Drosophila melanogaster: one gene and its partners. The protein of the gene in region 1 interacts with the protein of each later gene in a pairwise test. Each region holds a gene or a part of one and is shown on either strand. Other genes may lie near its edges. The genes, in order: GEFmeso, Fkbp39, idc and pgc.

The links.
Region 2: the proteins of GEFmeso (region 1) and Fkbp39 interact in a two-hybrid assay, tested with the Drosophila melanogaster proteins (one large-scale study listed by BioGRID).
Region 3: the proteins of GEFmeso (region 1) and idc interact in a two-hybrid assay, tested with the Drosophila melanogaster proteins (one large-scale study listed by BioGRID).
Region 4: the proteins of GEFmeso (region 1) and pgc interact in a two-hybrid assay, tested with the Drosophila melanogaster proteins (one large-scale study listed by BioGRID).

Annotation. Positions count from the first base shown.
Region 1 is NT_033778.4:18,608,775-18,613,646, forward strand, and holds the start of GEFmeso (guanine nucleotide exchange factor in mesoderm), read right to left. Parts: upstream 3,004-4,872; 5' UTR 1,959-3,003; coding exon 1,907-1,958; intron 1-1,906. Other genes in the region: CG42697 (uncharacterized protein), read right to left, coding at 3,234-3,304, 3,517-3,652, 3,709-3,921; CG10927 (uncharacterized protein), read left to right, coding at 4,353-4,872.
Region 2 is NT_033777.3:15,331,030-15,334,932, forward strand, and holds Fkbp39 (FK506-binding protein 39kD), read right to left. Parts: upstream 2,105-3,903; 5' UTR 2,000-2,104; coding exon 1,984-1,999; intron 1,800-1,983; coding exon 1,587-1,799; intron 1,520-1,586; coding exon 675-1,519; 3' UTR 555-674; downstream 1-554. Other genes in the region: mRpL9 (mitochondrial ribosomal protein L9), read left to right, coding at 1-528; Cyfip (cytoplasmic FMR1 interacting protein), read left to right, coding at 2,360-2,566, 2,637-3,903. UniProt on the Drosophila melanogaster protein: PPIases accelerate the folding of proteins. May function in a signal transduction cascade during early development.
Region 3 is NT_033777.3:20,029,950-20,034,847, reverse strand, and holds idc (identity crisis), read right to left. Parts: upstream 3,026-4,898; 5' UTR 2,909-3,025; coding exon 2,738-2,908; intron 2,684-2,737; coding exon 1,683-2,683; intron 1,525-1,682; coding exon 1,390-1,524; intron 1,333-1,389; coding exon 1,222-1,332; intron 968-1,221; exon of another isoform or gene 807-967; coding exon 659-806; 3' UTR 553-658; downstream 1-552. Other genes in the region: Regnase-1 (regnase 1), read left to right, coding at 1-552; trem (trade embargo), read left to right, coding at 3,638-3,784, 3,839-4,599, 4,656-4,790, 4,847-4,898.
Region 4 is NT_033778.4:22,328,398-22,333,353, reverse strand, and holds pgc (polar granule component), read right to left. Parts: upstream 3,155-4,956; 5' UTR 3,093-3,154; coding exon of another isoform or gene 2,350-3,092; intron 2,293-2,349; coding exon of another isoform or gene 2,151-2,292; intron 2,097-2,150; coding exon of another isoform or gene 1,722-2,096; intron 1,507-1,721; coding exon of another isoform or gene 1,422-1,506; intron 1,360-1,421; coding exon of another isoform or gene 1,310-1,359; exon of another isoform or gene 1,282-1,309; intron 1,184-1,281; exon of another isoform or gene 1,183-1,183; 5' UTR 1,158-1,182; coding exon 942-1,157; 3' UTR 541-941; downstream 1-540. Other genes in the region: CG34208 (uncharacterized protein), read right to left, coding at 50-202; T3dh (type III alcohol dehydrogenase), read left to right, coding at 1,310-1,359, 1,422-1,506, 1,722-2,096, 2,151-2,292, 2,350-3,092; CG34207 (uncharacterized protein), read left to right, coding at 3,634-3,939; Gp150, read right to left, coding at 4,830-4,956.

The DNA of each region.
Region 1 (4,872 bases):
TGCGGCGAAATCTTATCAACGCCTTAGCCCTACTACCATCGATATCTATTAGTATTTATTGAATAAACCAAATATGAAAGCCAGGCCAGCCAAATAAATGTCACAAGAGAATCGATGGCGAACCGCAGGGCCCAAAAAGGTTTCCTCAGATCACAATCTTTAACAATATCGAATGAACAGACTCCCGTGGTGTTTGTGGTTACGAGTGGTAATTCAACGACTTGACCTGGCACCCTGCCCCCTTGCGCTCATGCACTTGTGTCCACAGATGAAAATTTCTTATTCCCCCGTTTTGTTTGTTTGTCTGGAATTGAAGTTGACTCTGTTGTTGAAGAGGCAAACAAACACGGTGACGGAAAGGGCAAAAGAAGACGAACTGGTGACATTTGATAGTGCATGCGGTCAACTGCTGGCGATATCATTCGGCGGGTTCTATTTATAGGTCGATGCGATCGGTAATATCCTGGACATGCGGCCGACAGATGGCGTCACGTTTGCTGACCCCGCCAAATGTCAACCACTTGCACAATCGTCTATGTCTAAGCTGGTGGGATCAGCAGAACAAACCCATAAATGCCGCAACACCCCCCCATCACCTATACATGATTCATTCGCCCTACTCATGTATGTGTATATAATTGATATAACAAAGGCCACTTGCTGAATTCGCAGTGTCCGTTATCAATAATTGACGCACCATCTTAACCCGTTTTAAACTATTTTCTTCGGGCAGTTTTTTGAAGGTACTTAACTAAATTAGTTATTCTCTCTCTCTCTCTTCACACATTTGGTTTGGAATTGTGTTGGCCAAAAGATTGCTTAAATTCAGTTTTACAGTTTTAATAGAGTTACTTGCAATTAGTATGATAATACATATTACTTATTACATATACATATTACTATTGATTATTATAAGTTTGGAAACCTTCTTTGGCCTAACATGGGTTAACTAACAGAGCTACTTACAGCGCTGTTGCGCTAAGGGCGGCGTTATCTAACATCCGCTGTTAGCGGGCGTGCAATAATAATAAAGAAAGTCAACAAAAGAAACGCAGTGTCAAGACTTATGACTAATGCACTTAATTGAACGAAAGCTTTCGGTGAGAAGAAAAACAAATATGCAGCATGTGCCACAAAGTTACAAGCAAATCGGCGTTACGAATTAAGTGGGTCAGCAAACCGAATGGAGCCACCCAAAACATAAATTGCAAATCCGAAGACAGACCTTTTCTTGGCCACACTTGTATGGTAATATGTGGGTCAAAATGGCCCGAAATTATGTATTATCATTAAATTTCATTACAACCGACTTTTCGAGCGCTTAAATAATGTCGAAAAATTTCGGACTGCGCAAAAGCGGAATGCAAAAACAAAGCGAACCCGTTACACCGCAATTCACGCAATGCCACTCAGTGGGTTGTTATTTTATTTTCCCCCCACTTTTTGTACAGTTATGGGAACGGAACGGTGCCGTCGATCCACCAAATGCATTGGCCCCAGTCCCAGTCCCAGCACCAGCCGCAATCCCCATTCCATCACCATCCCCCAACCCGCCGAGCCAAAGAAAGCCAACTTGATGGTCTGTTCTTGTACGCAAGTCCATATTCGGAGTTTGGAGTTCTTGGAGAATGCGTAGTGTCTCCCACACAGGAAGAAATATAAGATCGGGACATATGTATATTATTCATAATCCTACTGTAAACATATAGTACCCTAAGCTTTTGTATGTTCTTATGCCTTCAATGACGGATTATTAAAATGTAGACTAATGTCGTCTGAAATGCTGAAAACCAATATTACTAGTCTCTATCTGTGATTGATACGTGATTTTTCCTCAGTGCACCTCCCCAGCCCGCTGAGTCATGTCATTTCTGCACGCAGAAGTTCAGTGATCCCGTTCGCTTACCAAAAAAGTCCTCCCATCTCTCCGAGGTGTCCGAATCGGATTCTATGTCCATCTTGGTCTCCTCCGGCTGCTTGATTTACGATTTCCGAGTGCGTCTGGTTTGGTTTTGGCCAGATCTGGTCCCTCGCGCCTGATCTGTCTCTAAATTTAGACGGCGATTGCAGAGCAACTGACACTGAAGGAGGTCGTTATTATCGCGACTGCTTTGGCTGCTGCATTAGATATGGCCGCAGATACAGTATCTAAAACGGGCGAATTGTGGCCAAATGACTTCACCCGGTGCAGAGCGGAAAGGCAAAGCTCAATCAATGGCTGGCCGATAAGATAAGCGCTCGATTTAACTTTAAACACTGGCACCGAACTGTGCGATTTTCTTTTCCGTTTGTTTGTCGTATATGGACGTTTTCGCAGTTTCGAGTACGAGTATCTGGCTTTATTCACCACTAGTCGCCGATATCTTATCGCGGTCTACTAAGCTCCGAGGTAAGGCAAATATCCAGCAGGTACGGAGGCATTGTGGCCAACAGCTGGTGTCCAGCGATTCGGAATGAGAATACGCGAATGTATCTCAATGTTGCGCTCAGTTCTCGGAACTTTCGGATGACTAAACCGGCTCACGGACTTCTGTCTCTGGGGTTGGGGCTTTTATTTTATTACTTTTATTTGGGCTTAGAACAAATTGTGGGGATTCTCCAAAAGCGGGCCACACAACAACCGATCGTTGATTGAATTAAAGTAATGGGCTCTTCACTTGCTATTTGCGAAACCGAAAACAAAACGAAAACACACAAATTGCAGATACAAGTATCTCGCGCTTCGCTGATTTTCCAGTTTCTCCCGTGCAAATCACCTTCGCACCGTTACTTCTAATTGCGGCAAATGGAAAACACTCTCGTCTCACATATACGACTGCACTTGCAGATACACTTGTGTATTTTCAGATATAATTTTTGATATTTTTCCTGCCGATATTTTTATTTCCTTTTTTTTTTCTTGACGGGTAGGGGGCGGTACACTGGCACACACACGCTCATTCGCAGGAACAGCTCGAGCGCTCCAGGAACGACATATCCAGCGCGCGTCTCAGAGTGAACTGACTTACTTGAAAGACACTCAAGTCGGAAGACCCGAGCACGAAGTCACCTCATACACAAATAATGGGGGGATTCGAATACAAGTTCTCTCTCTCTCTCTCGGTGCTCACAGTATTACATCCGATGCGAAGATCGCTGAGAGTTGCATAGTATGCTCATTCCAAGGCGTTCGATCTCCAACATGGTATGTTTGTATCTTCTATGCATGCAACAAGTGGAACCAACTGCAACTCCTAGCAGTCGTGGGTGCATGATCGACAGCACCACCAGGTTGAAATGATGACCCATTCGTAGTACATCTCGACTGGATAAGAGAAAAATATTATTTTAATTAAAAATCGAACGTGAATAGAATTTATGTACTTTTTAAGTCCACTACGTTTTGTTGCTTGTTTGTGTTATATGTTGTGTGTGTGTTATAGAAAGAAGTTCTCGATAGTTAATGTATTAATCTACTTCTCTATCTTCTTTTGTTTTCAGATCCAAAAGAAATTCAAAATTTTTTCACCAACTTACGTATGCTAAGAAAACCGCCCAGAAGGAGGTGCAGAGGGTCCCACAAGAGGATGTAGAAGAGCACCACAAGTGCGATGAGGAGCCCCAGGGCCGCAATACCTATAAAAAAGGACAAGAGCATGGCCCAGCACATGTCCTGTAGAACAGCGATTGGATATCTTTACAAATTTAAGGATAAAAGTATTCACTTACCCACATCGTTCCGAGGAGAAGAAGAATTTTAGCTAGGGCTTGGACAATGCCAAAGACCATTGCCATGACCACAAGCACTGTTTCCGGATTGCCCTTGATCATCTCGAATAGACCCACAGAAAAGACCATTAAAGCTAGAAGCATCCCCGTGAAGCCGATGAAGATGCAGCCAATGTAAAGCGACAAATAGCCGCAAAACAAGCGCAGACACATTTCGATGTTTCCTCTAAGTTTTGACTAGAAATCACAAGCACATATTTCACTGGAATTTTGAATTTAAACTTTGGGTATCAGACTGGGCACTGCTTACATGTAGACATCAAAAAAGATATTGGTTGTAAGGAATTATAATGCAAATTAGACAATTGATCAGATTATTGAGCTGATTAGATTAAGTATTAGGGAATGTATATCAAAAGTAGGAAATATTTGAAACAGCTCCCAAGCTAAATAGCTTTAAAGACTTTTAAACGTATAATCTTTCACTAAATTATTTTTAAATGCATATTTTAAATAGAAGACATTTTTCAAAGTTGGCGCTTAATATCCAAACAGCTGTTTCAACGCCAGCGCTTGGCACTTATCGATAACCTATTTCAATCGATTCCAATTGGCATTCTTCTAATTGAAGAATTAAGTAAATAATGGATATATCCGCGCCACCAAACAAACGTGCTCGAAAATCACCCAATCTGGATGAAGACATAACTGGGATCCGGGCCATCCTCTCCGATGAGTTCGACGAGGATATTGCGCTCATCAAGGCGCACAGTTGCGAGTTGGAGACGAAACAGCAGCTCCAGGCGGTCATCCAGGAGCTCTCACAGAAATTGCCCCACTTTCAACACCTAAAGCGCGTCCAGGATCGCAGCGTGCTCATATGTCCCAGCTCAGAGATCGGAGTGTCTCAAAGCCTGGAACAACACCTTGAACAGTTTGCCTTTTCGGAGCACGTGCTCCGTGCTTTGTGCCAGGGAGTCCGGGTGGTGGAGGTGCCGGAACGGATGCCCCGACTGCGGGTGCAGTACGAGAAGACCCTTAAGCACTGGCCCTGCAAGTTTCACCCTAATCACTACTCGGAGTCACTGAGGAATGGCAGCAACTTTAGCTCCGCACAACGCACATTTCACAAAAGGATCGGGCAATTGCTTGTGAGGCTCTCGC
Region 2 (3,903 bases), on another chromosome or scaffold:
ACCTTCGTCGAGGGCGTTGGCGACAAGGGCGACGTGGTGTCAATGAAGCCGCACTTTGTCTACAATAAGCTCCTGCTGCCGGGTTTGGCCGCGTACAATACGCCGGAGAATGTGGCCAAGTACGCCAAGACAGAGGCTGAAAAATCGACTGTTAAACACAGCTCCCCCTACGCCCAGCGCACGGTCAACATGCTGGAGACCATTGTGCTGGCGGTGGTCATGAACAAGGATGAGCCATGGGTGCTCGAGCCCTGGCACATCAAGGCCTCGCTGCGCAAGACTGGGTTCTATTGTCGCGAGGAGTGCATTACCCTGCCCAAGGAGCGCATCGAGGGACCCGACCTGAAGAAGGAGAACAAGGACTTCTACTGCACTGTGACCATAAACAAGCTGGAACAGGCGCGACTCAAGTGTCGTCTGCACCACTGGAGCACAGATCCCAGCGAACGGCTGCCTTACGTACTCGAGCACTGGAAACTCCAGTCTGAGCCCCTGCTGGATGTATGTTCACCCGAAAAAACCCCTTAGAGACCCCATACCAAATACATGCGATTGTTACAAAACTGTTGATTTATGAACAGCCGGAAAACAGAGTTTATTTAACATTTTTATCAAGTTGTACGACGTGGATACTTACTTAGGATTACAAGTCTATATGATGTTAATATAGTGCACTAATGCACAGCTTTCAGTTCCACTTCGAAGACGAGAGTGGAGTTCGGTCCGATCTTCGGTGGAGCTCCCCGTGCGCCGTACGCCATGTGCGGGGGGCAGGTAATGACTCGCTTGCCGCCCACCTTCATGCCGGCGACTCCCACGTCCCAGCCCTTGATGACCTCTCCGCCGCCCAGGGCGAACTTAAATGGTTTTCCCTTCAGGAGGCTGTCGAAGGTCTTGTTGTTCGACTGCAGGCGGCCGATGTAGTAAACAGATACGCGTTTGCCCTGCTTGGCTTCTTCGCCTTTGCCGACGACCTGATCCACAATCTTCACGCCTCCGGTGATAGTACGTGGATCCTTAGAAGCTGGTTGCTGCTTGGCTGGCTCCTTGGCCTTGGGTTGTTCCTTCTTGGCCTCTGGCTTCTCCTTCTTCTTTTGCTGCTGCTTGGCCTCCTCCTTCTTGGCCACACCGTTCTGCTCCTTGCCAGATTTCTTGGCGCTAGCGCCAGGAGAGAGCTTGGCAACCTTGGCCTTTGGCTGTTCCTCTTCAGCTTCGGAGTCGTCGCTGTCCTGTTCATCCTCCTCGCCACTCTCCTCGTTATCCTCATCAACATCGTCGTCATCTTCCTCCTCACCATTTTCGAGGAAGGACTCGTATTCCTCGATTATCTGGCTATCGTCATCAGTATCCTCCTCGTCCTCCTCGCCGCTCTCATTCTCATCCTCATCATCTTCAGACTTTTTGCTATTCTTGATCGCCTTGGAGTTCAGCAAATTCTCGATCGTCATTTGATCGTCATCCTCATCATCTTCGGAATCAATGTCGTGCAAGTAGCCCAACAGAGAAACGCTGGCGTCGCCTGTGAAACGAACGAAAGCGTCAGAAACGGATAAACATGCGAACATAGTGGACATAAAAGGTCTTACCGGCGGTGTAGAACATGATGCGATCGCCCTTGCTGAAGTTCAGGTCGAGCGCAACCTGTGGAATGGCCTTGGTCACGGTGGCCACGATGTACTCCTGCTTCTCGGCAGCGAGGTACAACTTGGCCTCCTGGCCCTTGTCGAGTGCCACGCCCGAGATGTGGAACGACTTGATGATCGTCTGCGAGTACTTGCGCTCAGGCTTCATGTTCAAACCTGGAAGAGGACACAGTTGGTCAAAAACATGGTTTACTTTACATCGGCGTGCAAATGGCGCCGCTCCACGCTGCCGGTAAATCGAGCGGCAAGCACGTGGTGGCAATAAAAGCGCGGTCGGAGCACCCAAGAGCTCGTTGGCACAACCAGCCCGGAGGGGGCAAGTGAGATCAGTTCGACTTACCCCAAAACATCGACATCTTGCAGAATTGTAGGCTACTCTTAACGGAAAATGCAATATAAAATAGGAGAAATTGAGTTCGCTAAAACGAAACGGAACCACAGACGCTAGTGATGTGATGTGCCGCCAATGCGCCGTATTTATCGATTATCTTTCTCTTATCGAAATTAGCGGTGCGCAGCCATATAAGCATAAGCACATCGTAGACGCCAACCGCCAGCAAAAATGTGCTAATTATGGCCACGTGTCCACGCACCCAGGCGAATGGTAAAAGTCGTGTTGTATTTGTGGCGAAAAAAATTTGTGTCGATTGGATTGGGGCCCCGCCTTGTTAGAATTTAACCATTTCGCGCTGCTGGAGCATGATAAGCAGCCCAGCATGACGGAGAAGATTACGCTAGCCGACGCGCTGTCCAACGTGGAGGTGTTGGACGAGCTATCCCTGCCGGACGAGCAGCCCTGCATCGAGGCGCAGCCCTGCTCGATTATCTACAAGGCAAACTTCGATACGAATTTCGAGGATCGCAATGGATTTGTCACGGGTATCGCCAAGTACATCGAGGAGGCCACCACCCATGCCAACTTGGTGAGTTAGCGTATCCGGCTTATCGCATTAGCATTACTCACAGCTCTGAACCCCTTCTCTCCGCCCGCAGAATGTGCTCCTGGACGAGGGGCAGAAACACGCAGTAATGCTCTACACCTGGCGCTGCTGCTCGCGCGCCATTCCGCAGCCCAAGTCCAATGAGCAGCCGAATCGCGTGGAGATCTACGAGAAGACGGTCGAGGTGCTAGCCCCGGAGGTGAACAAGCTGCTCAACTTCATGTACTTCCAACGCAAGGCCATCGAGGCCTTCTCCGGCGAGGTGAAGCGCTTGTGCCACGCCGAGAAGCGCAAGGACTTCGTGTCCGAGGCGTACCTATTGACGCTAGGCAAGTTTATCAACATGTTTGCCGTGCTGGACGAGCTGAAGAACATGAAGTCCAGCGTGAAGAACGATTACTCCACCTACAGGCGAGCTGCGCAGTTCCTCAAAGTGATGTCGGACTCGCACACCTTGCAGGAGTCGCAGAATCTGTCCATGTTCCTGGCCACGCAGAACAAGATTCGCGACACGGTCAAGGACACGCTGGAGAAGATCGTGGGCTACGAGGATCTGCTCTCAGATGTGGTCAACATTTGCGTGCATATGTTCGAGACAAAGATGTACTTGACCCCTGAGGAGAAGCACATGCTGGTAAAAGTTATGGGCTTTGGCCTGTTCCTTATGGACAGCGATGCGTGCAATATCAACAAACTTGATCAAAAGAAGAAGATACGGCTGGATCGCATCGATCGCATCTTTAAGAACCTGGAAGTGGTGCCCCTCTTCGGCGACATGCAGATTGCTCCCTTCAACTACATAAAGCGCAGCAAGCACTTCGATTCCAGCAAGTGGCCGCTGTCCAGCTCAAACGCCATCAGCCCACAGGCGGATCTAATGGTGCATTTGCCGCAGATACGCGAGGATCACGTCAAGTACATTTCGGAGCTGGCGCGATACACAAACGAGGTGACCACCACCGTCAAGGAGAATCCCTCTGATGCCGAGAACCGGATTACGGCCGACCTGGCTCTGCGCGGCCTTCAATTGCTGTCCGAGTGGACCAGTGTGGTCACCGAGTTGTACTCCTGGAAGCTCCTGCATCCGACTGATCATCACCAGAACAAGGAGTGCCCCGTGGAGGCTGAGGAGTACGAGCGGGCCACCCGCTACAATTACACCTCGGAAGAGAAGTTCGCGCTGATCGAGGTCATCGCCATGATAAAGGGACTGCAGGTGCTAATGGCGCGCATTGAAACCGTATTGTGCGAGGCTATCCGGCGTAACATCTATTCCGAGCTGCAGGACTTCGTGCAGCTTTCGCTTCGTGAACCGCTGC
Region 3 (4,898 bases), on another chromosome or scaffold:
ATCAACTCACTGATTAGCCGGGAGCCGCTGGGGCGCACCAAGTCAAATACCATCGAGCAGGTATGTCAGGGCTTCTCCGCTCAAATGGATCTTTCAGAGGGTGCCGTGGAATCCAGCCAGCCCAATCGCCACAAGAAGCTGCAGCGCCAACAACCGCCGCCCGCCTACCGCCTGCTGGTGCCCACCTACAGTGCTCCCCTCCAGCAACAACAACACCAGGCACAGCAGCAGCATCAACAGTCCAACTCCAGCACCAACTATCACCACCAGTATCTGACGCGCACGCCATCCGCCCCGGTCACGGATCAGGGACTGGGTCTGCCACTGCCCGCTCACAACTTCGCCCATCTGTCTGCCTCCGATTCGCGCATCAACGAGGAGCTGCACGCCTCGCAGCAGCTTCCGCGGGAGGAGCAGCGCCGATTGCTGCGCTATCACCTGGGCAGCCTTTTCCCACCGCACCAGGTGCATGCCGTACTGCAGCTCTATCCGGAGGAGACCGACGCCAAGACCATATGCGCGGCTATTCTTAATTTATTTCCGCATAATTAGGCTAGGCTTAAATTTCATCAATATAATTAGATGTGTAATTACACGCGTGTTTCTGCTTAAAGTGTAAAGTGTCGCTTTGGGACGACGTGGAGTCCTCGCTCGAAATTTACATATCCAGGCCAACGATGTTGGCCGTGTCGTAGGACACCAGCCCGGCTACGGATTCCCGTGCGGACTGGCCGCGCCTCTCGTGGATGACCCGGTGGTTACGCAGTTTGTACGCCTGCGGGAATCCCTTGCCGCACACATCGCAGCTAAAGAGAGAGAGCAAACGTGTTTTAAATTGATTAGAATCCTTGATTAATTTATGTCTTCCTTATAACTTATAATATTTAAACACTAATACTTCATTCCCTGTTTATCTAATGTTATTTACGCCTCAGGCACCTAATAAACAATCAACTAAACTCAAAATATTAATATACTACGTAATATTCGTAAACAATAATCTTTTGAAACAGCATGGCTCTTTCAAAATAGTTTCCACTGTGAATTGTACATTCTTATAGAATAAAAAGTATATTTTTATAAACGATTTCCATCTCTCTATATCAAAAAAAAAACTCAATCTGGTTCTGAAGCTAGTGTATGCATAAACAATCTGTGAAACAGTGAAAGTTCGTGCTAGAGAATACGGACTGTAACCGCCAGGGGGAAAGCGAAACTTACACGTGCGGCTTCTCTCCCGTATGAATCATTTTGTGGAACTTCAAGGTGTTGGTGTAAGTGAATGTCTTGTGGCAAACATCGCACTCGTAGGGTCGCTCGTTGGTGTGGATTCTGCAAACGGGTAATTATTCAATCAAATCGGGTTTGGATTGGAGCTCACCAACTTACCTGTGGTGCTTGTTACGCGTGGACAAGTCGGCGAAGGCTGCCGGGCAATAGCTGCATTTGTACGGCCGATTTCCGGTGTGGGTGTTCATGTGGCGTGCCAGCTGCTGAGCCTGGGCGAAGCAATGACCACAGATCCTGAAAAATGAGATTTTAAGTTAATGAAGGCTTATTGAAAATGATTAATTACTTCCACACAATCATTATACCCGAATTAGACGGATATATGAGCTAAAATCGTAATAACACTCCAAAGAACATAGTGAACACGCAGTAAAAACTGTGAAGTTACTTACTCGCACTCGTGCGGCTTCACGCCGGAGTGGACCTTGATGTGCTCGGTAAGGCGACTCTGGGAGGGATACATGTTGCCGCAGACATCGCAGATGTACTTGAACTCCTTCTTGTCGCCAAGAAGGATCTTGTGGCCGCCTTTGGTTTTAATGCCGGAATGCTTGCGCGCCAGCACCTCGCCAATCGAGATGTCCTTCTCGGATTTGATGCTCATTTTGCTGCCAGCCGAATCACTGTTACCCCGCCGTACCTTAAGTGGATTGCCGCGGTCAGTTGTCTTGGAGGTACTCGATTCTACAGCCACCGAGGCCGTCGATGTAGCTGACCTGCGGGGATTCACTCTCCGCTTGGTGGCATTCCGCGCATGGATGGACGCGCGAACGCTTTTTGAGGGAACGAACTCCTCTTCGGTTGAGTTCAGATCGACTTCCGCATCATCCTCGTGGGCACTTTCGGTCAACTGATCATGCTCGACCTGGTCCAGGTATTCGATTTCGGCAGATAACTCGGACAGGGCTTGATCGGCCATCTCGTGGTCATAGCCCTGATCTGGGATGAGGTCGCCCTCGTACGTCTCATACACGTCATAAACCTCCTCGATTATGCCGTCCTCCTCCACCTGCTCGTTCTTCACGTGCACAATCCGATCCTTTTCCAGCTCAACGAGGATACCATCCTCAATCTCGTCATGGAAGACACCACCCTGCGTTTCGGCGGCATCGTCCGCCTCGGCATAGTGGCTCTCGTCCAGGTCCACATCCTCGTCTTCCTCGTCATGCTCTGGCTCCTGCTCCGCCTCATCGGGATCGACATCCGGCTCCAGCTTGGTGGCTGTCTCTGAGCCCTTTTTCTCCGGTGGTCGCTGCTCCACCTCTACGGGTCCAACGAACTGGCGCAGATGGCCGTACGATCTTTGGCAGGTCTCTCGAAACTTAAATGCCATTTTCAGCACCTTGAAGCACTTCTCGCATATCTTGTCCGGATAGTGATCGAACTGTTTGATCTGCCAAGGAAATTGCATTGTTATATGGTTCGGGGTCCAATGGGACAAACTTACGGGCACTCCGCCGCACTCGCGAATCATGTGGGTCAGATCCTTTTCCGAATCGTCGTTGAAAATGCTGGCCATGGGCTCCTTGGGCTGCTGCAGGCAAACCCGGCAAACGATCCACTTCTGCGTGCTCGTTGCCGCTGCCGCCGGACTCGCATGTGCTGCCGAGTCTCTCATTGTCGCGAATAGGAGATGGATCTCTTCCAGGAGGCTACTTACCCTCCGCTATAATATTTATAATAACACGCTCGCTGGACGAAGACGACGCCAAAAAAATAGATTGTAGTCTGGAGCGAAGTGCACGCGTTGCAATGCGAATGTCGCCACACAGGGTGACCACAGTCGACGCTAAGGGTATTCCATTCGCTACTTCAAATATTAAATATATAATTAAGAATACGAATGCATTTTGTGGGCAGTTAAATAAATCAGTAAAATTGGAATTCAAGTGTTTTACAATTTAAATATATAAAAGCTTGATTAAGCAGTTTAATACAATATTATATGTCAAGCTCATGTAAAGTTCCATCGTTCCATAAGACAGTGTGGTCATTACTGTACTGAAACAAAACTACTTTGATAGAATAGTGCTTTTCCTTTTTATTATATAAACGAACTTAAAACCATTTTCCTTCAATATTTGTAAATTGAAAATAAAATTAATAAAATGACGCGCATTTTTATATTATTTTCTACCAAAAAAAAATTATTTAAAACATTTGTTTGGTAAAAAGTGCACATACAGCTATGTACCCTGTACGCTCCATGTAGTCGTTCATAACGTGCATTCACCGTATCAACTTTGGCGGGCGCGTTTCGCTGTGAATGGCCAGTGGCCGTGGACGCTTAAATTCAGCTGTTTGAATCTTCTGCAACAACCGAAGTGATTGTTTTATCGAATTAGCCATGAAAACTGAGTCCAACGAGAAGTGGGTGGTGTGCCGCGTTTGCCTGAACAATCCCAGCGAGGGCGAGGAGCTGCTCCACGACATATTCAGCGAAACGGCAAGCACGCGACTGGACCAAATGCTGCACATTTGCGCAGGCATTCCAGTAAGTGTGAATCCTGCTTGGTTTGCCCATTTTAAATTATTCCAACCCAAACAGGTCAGCCTAGATGACAACTTCCCGGACAAGATGTGCAGCAAGTGCGTGCGCTGCCTGCGGCTCTGCTACAAGTTCCGTCTGACATGCCAGCGATCCCATCAGCACATTATGGACATGCTGGACCGGGAGGCCAGCAATGCTAACGCCGCCGGCGAAGGGGATTTGCTTAGCATCGCGGAGGACCTTTCGGTGGAGAGCGTACTGAAGTCGTGGGAGGACTACGCCAGTCAGCTGGATGGCGGCATGAAAGTGGAGGGCGAGGAGGATCAGCAACATCAGGTTATCACCTATGTCGTGGAGGATGGTGATACTGATGATACCAATATGTTCGATGTGCACGATCCCACGCAGCCGGTGCCAAATGAGATCGAGGAGGCTGAAACCTATGCTGAATACGAGGAATACGAACTGCTCACCAACGAAAACTCGCCGGAAATCGCACAGGAAAAAGGCTCCACCGGCACAGATGTTGCCACAGAGGAGCCGCCCGAAGAAGAAATTGCTGAAGACATACTCGACTCTGACGAAGATTATGACCCAACTCATGCTAAGCCGGAAAAATGCGACCGATCGGGCAGGAAGCCAGTTGCATACCACAAGAATAGCCCAAAAGTGGAAACCTTCAAAAAGAAGGTGGGCAGAAAGCCGCGCAACAAGCTGAGCACATACATCTGCGATGTGTGCGGAAATATCTATCCGACTCAGGCGCGTCTCACCGAGCACATGAAATTCCATTCTGGTGTTAAACCACACGAGTGCGAGTAGGTTTAAAAGTTGAAAGTAAATAGTAACTATGGCTAATAGGATGTTATTATAGGATCTGCGGAAGAGGCTTTGTGCAGAATCAACAGCTGGTACGGCACATGAACACTCACACGGGGAACCGACCATACAAGTGCAACTACTGTCCAGCTGCCTTCGCCGATCGATCCACGAAAACCAAACATCATAGGTGAGAAATATTCGAAACAGTTGAAAGTAAATTAAACTGACATTATTTCTCTCCAGAATTCACACTAAGGAGCGTCCCTACGTGTGCGACGTTTGCTCCAGAACGTTT
Region 4 (4,956 bases), 3.7 Mb from region 1:
TTCGGGGAGATTTCGTGGGTTTTTCCATCTCCTCCAGCCGCTCGGATTGCTAGCGTCGATCGTTGTCGTTATCGTTTCGAGGACGTCGCGTTGTGTGCGGACGACCCTTGGGCTCCGGATTGGGTTCCGCTAGGGCTAAAGTGCCCAGACTGCCGATGAGTCCGAGGATGCCGAATACCAGGAACAAACTAAGCCACTTCATCTCGCGATCGCGATGTCGAGTTATTACCAGTTCAACACAAACTGCTGAACGATACGCCTGGAATCAAACGTTTTATGGCCTGGCGCCCAGAAGATCGGCGACGATCTGCATGCTAATGAGGGAAACTGCCGTCAACATCGTTTACCATTGCCAGTAGTTTATGTTCGCAGATCGGCCAGATAGCGCGGCAAATTGAGTTGTAAATCCAGCGCGAAAAATGGGCGGACATACATTTAGGTAATTAGCTCCATTGTAATGGGAACAATTGTTCCCATTACAATTGAATCGCAGTCACATCTTACTGTGGGACCCGTAATTAAAAACGAATGGGTTTTTGAACGATTGCGAATCGAAAATATATTTCTATCTATTTTTTGGGTAAGTATTTGAGAAATTTCGAGCTTCCCTACTTGTTCTTGAATACATTAGGTGCAATACCGAAGGCAAATTATTGCCATTTTTAGATCTAGGACAACCATATGCGATTGATTGGTACAAATTGATTACTTGGTAGAGTGACAAAACAATGCGAGTTTTCACGAAAGCAAACATTTGAATACACGGACAAATTGACTTCAAGAAACTATGCATACGATCGCCTCTGAAGGCTGGTAGTTACAATATAAAATAACCGAGCACTTATCAAAAGTGCATTCACGATGTTCCACTCATGTGGCAAACGAACTGCTAAAACTATAATTTACAAATATCACAATAAGTTGGCTTTTGGGAGGTCCAGTCAGAATCTCCATCTATCCGCGATGACCGGCGGACTCAGGCTCAAGTTTTGCTGGAAAACCTGGCAGAGCTCATTCATCTCCCGCTCCCTTTGCAACTCCTCGCGCACTTGATGCCACATGGACTCGAATCCATTGTCGTAGGATGCCATCGAGGCATCGCCCTCGCAGGAGCTGTCTTCAAAAATAAAGGAGTACTCCATCTGGTAGTCGCACATTTTCGGGTCTTCTTGTAGTTCAAAGCTGCAAGACAGAGAATTTCAAATTGTTAGCTATCGATTATGAAGTGCTGTCTTTTGGCGCCAGCTATCGATTCGGCGGGTTCTTATCAAACGAAAGACCAGTCCAGCTGATTTCATTTATATACAGAATGTCGCGGAAGAATGTCTTAGGTTTGATCAACACGATCGTGGCCAACTCGTAAGTAAAAATTGCGTTTTATAACTGATTTCAAGTGATTTAAATAAAGTATGGTCTTATAGCTGCAAGTGCCCCGCCCATTCGCATAACTATGGCTCAGCAGCTCCAACCGCCTCCCAAACGGGTCGCATGGAATACGCCTTCGAGGTAAGTGGCAAAACCTTGGACTTTGGAGCACCTCCAGATAGTAGATTCTCATCTTTAGACAGGTGGTCATACCCTGGACCAGATAATACTATCTCTATATTCTTAAGCATCCCAATAGAATTTATATTTTAGATCTTGTGAATACTTTTAACTTAAATTTTGTTCGGTATATAACAAATTCTAATTCAAATTTGGTCAAATGTATTGATAAACAGATGTCAGCCTCGACTGTTCGATTTGGACCGGGAGTAAGTGCCGAAGTGGGAGCCGATCTTCGCAACTTGGGAGCTCGGAAGGTTTGTTTGGTCACGGATAAAAATGTCGTGCAATTGCCCTCCGTGAAAGTGGCCTTGGATTCACTGGCTCGTAATGGCATCAACTACGAAGTCTATGATGAAACCCGGGTGGAGCCCACGGATGGGAGCATGTGGCATGCCGTGGAGTTTGCGCGCGGCAAGGAGTTCGATGCATTTCTGGCCATCGGAGGAGGATCTGCCATGGATACAGCCAAGGCAGCTAATCTTTTTAGCAGTGATGCAAATGCAGAGTTTTTGGATTATGTAAACTGCCCAATTGGCAGAGGCAAGGAGGTGAGGTCTCCTTTTTAGACTTAGTACCTTTAATACCACTTGAATTCCATTTAGATATCCGTAAAACTGAAGCCCCTGATTGCGATGCCCACCACTTCGGGAACAGGTTCCGAAACCACTGGAGTAGCTATATTTGATTACAAGAAGTTGCATGCCAAAACTGGGATTTCCAGCAAGTTCCTCAAACCTACTTTGGGTAAAAAACTGAACTTCTTTAAATAATTTATTCTAATATCGTTCTATCTAACTCTAGCTGTGATTGATCCTCTGCACACCCTATCCCAGCCGCAACGCGTGATGGCTTTCGCTGGCTTTGATGTGTTCTGCCATGCCCTGGAGAGTTTCACGGCGGTGGATTACAGGGAACGCGGTTTGGCGCCCAGTGATCCCAGCTTGAGACCCACCTACCAGGGCAGGAACCCAGTGTCGGATGTGTGGGCACGATTCGCATTGGAGACGATAAGGAAAAACTTTGTGAACGCCATTTACCAGCCCGATAACCTAGAAGCCCGATCCCAGATGCACCTGGCTTCCACAATGGCTGGCGTGGGATTTGGTAATGCCGGAGTGCACCTGTGTCATGGCCTTTCCTATCCTATTTCTGGAAATGTGAGGGATTACAAGCCAAAGGGCTACTCCGCGGATCACGCTCTTATTCCACACGGCCTATCCGTGGTGATCAGTGCTCCGGCGGTCTTTGAGTTCACTGCTCCAGCTTGTCCGGATCGGCATTTGGAGGCTGCCCAGTTGCTGGGCGCAGAAGTGCGAGGTGTCGAAAAAGCAGACGCCGGTCGTCTTTTGGCGGACACTGTACGCGGTTTTATGCAACGCGCGGGCATAGAAAATGGCCTCCGAGAGCTGGGATTCTCCAGCAGCGATATACCCGCCTTGGTGGAGGGAACCCTGCCCCAGGAAAGGATCACTAAGCTAGCACCCAGGGCGCAGACGCAGGAAAACCTGTCGCAACTCTTTGAGAAGTCCATGGAGGTCTATTAATTTGGAGCCAAAACTTACCCACGCTCAACTTGTTCTCTTGAAGAAAAAAAAATGTTAAACTAACGGATCTTCGTTTAAGATCTGACCATACTTGAGCTTTCAAAATTCTATTTTTTTTAAGCGTATAAAAAGCTTAGAGTGAACCATTTAATTTTGGTTGGACTTGTGTATATACGAAAAATACCATTAAAAACCCTATACAGAATCACAGGAAATTTGATGCCCTGCTTGATTTTTGTTTACTTTATGTTCTTTGTCGCAATGGATCTTATGTACATTCAGCATTATTTTGTGGCCTCTTTTTTGGTCTGCACTTCGTTTGAGAATCCTCTACTCAGTTTGCTTTCCTAAGCTGCAGGAAGAAGACCGACGCTGGGACCAAAAATACTATGATATAAGATATTAATATTAATATAATATCATACAAATCATACATGATATCATATCATTAAAACAAAAAAAAAAGGATTAAATCCTACAAATTAGTTGCTCCAAAAAAAGCTTGTAATTTTTGTAATTATAATATATTTTAGACTGAAACATGTTTGAGTACTCCTTCATGTTCGAATCCTCCGGATGTGAGGGTAAATTTCTAGGGATGCCCTACGACGGGGAATTCGAGGCAATGTGGCAGCAGATCGGCAATGAACTCCGTTCCAGACATAATCGCTTCCTGGGAATGCCGTTCGATAGTGGATTTGAACGGATGTGGCGGCAGGTCAGAGAGGAACTGAAACGGGATCGGGAAGATAACGAATTGGCACTCTGTTTCCAGCGGAATTTGAGCACCTACGTAAAGGAGGAAGGGGATGTCGGTCAACTTGAGTCTTTTATTGAACGCAGATAAAATATATTCAATTTTATTGAAAGGCATGTTATTGTTTAAAGTACGTATGCAAGTGTGTATGTCTATTAAGTATGCATTGTAAAGATTACGATCGGTTTGGTTAAAATAATTTATTGTTTTCGGAATCGGTTTCAATGTCGAATAGGTCAAGCTGTTACTTGCCTTCGATTGGAAAAAAGATAATAAAAAAGTCTTAACATAGTTTATGCATTAATTATTTCTCTCATCTCTTGATCATATTAAAAATCAGACGTCATTCTAGGGAGTCTCCTAACCGTTTGCTACACAGACCCGCATCTAAAACTCTTACTACTTTCTGTTCCTCGCTCCTCGTTTCTTGTTCCTGACTTGACACTCAGTTTAGAAACCTTAATGTGTTTAAGTAATTTTCGCTCGGTTTGAATTTTGGCAAAATGGCACTAAATCTTCAAGTTGTTCCCGGATATGGACTAATTGGATACGGATTGTGGGCAGAGGTTTGATAAATTGCAAATCCGTTGCTTTCGAAACGGTTGCTCATCAAACGCGTTCTCTGAAAGCCCACCTCTGCTGTTGCCAAGGACCTTTGACTGGTCTTAACAGTATTTGATGGTACAGGATATTTCAAGGATAAAGGATTTTGTCAAAGATTTATTCTCTCTCTTTCAATCTCTTATTTGGATTCAAGTATTTTTTAGTTGTTGCTTTGTTTCCTCGCACTTTCGCTAATACTTTTAACTGCCACCTACTGCTCCTCCTCCTGTTTCTTACATTCTTGTGCTTGTGTTTAGTCAATTGTCTGATGTGATTTTCCACTTTTTCAACTATCAATATACTTATAAATTAGAAAAACAGCGCAACTCGTTCGATTTCCGCGGCCACCGGCCCGGAACTGCTGATTCTAGGTGGACTTAGACCTGATTGATGGGCGCGTATCGGTGCACCTTTGGCTGCTTCAGATGCTTGGGCTCCTTCTGCTCCTTGCTGGTCGGCTTCACGATGTCCTCGCTCAACTTCTGGTATACGAACGAGTTCTTT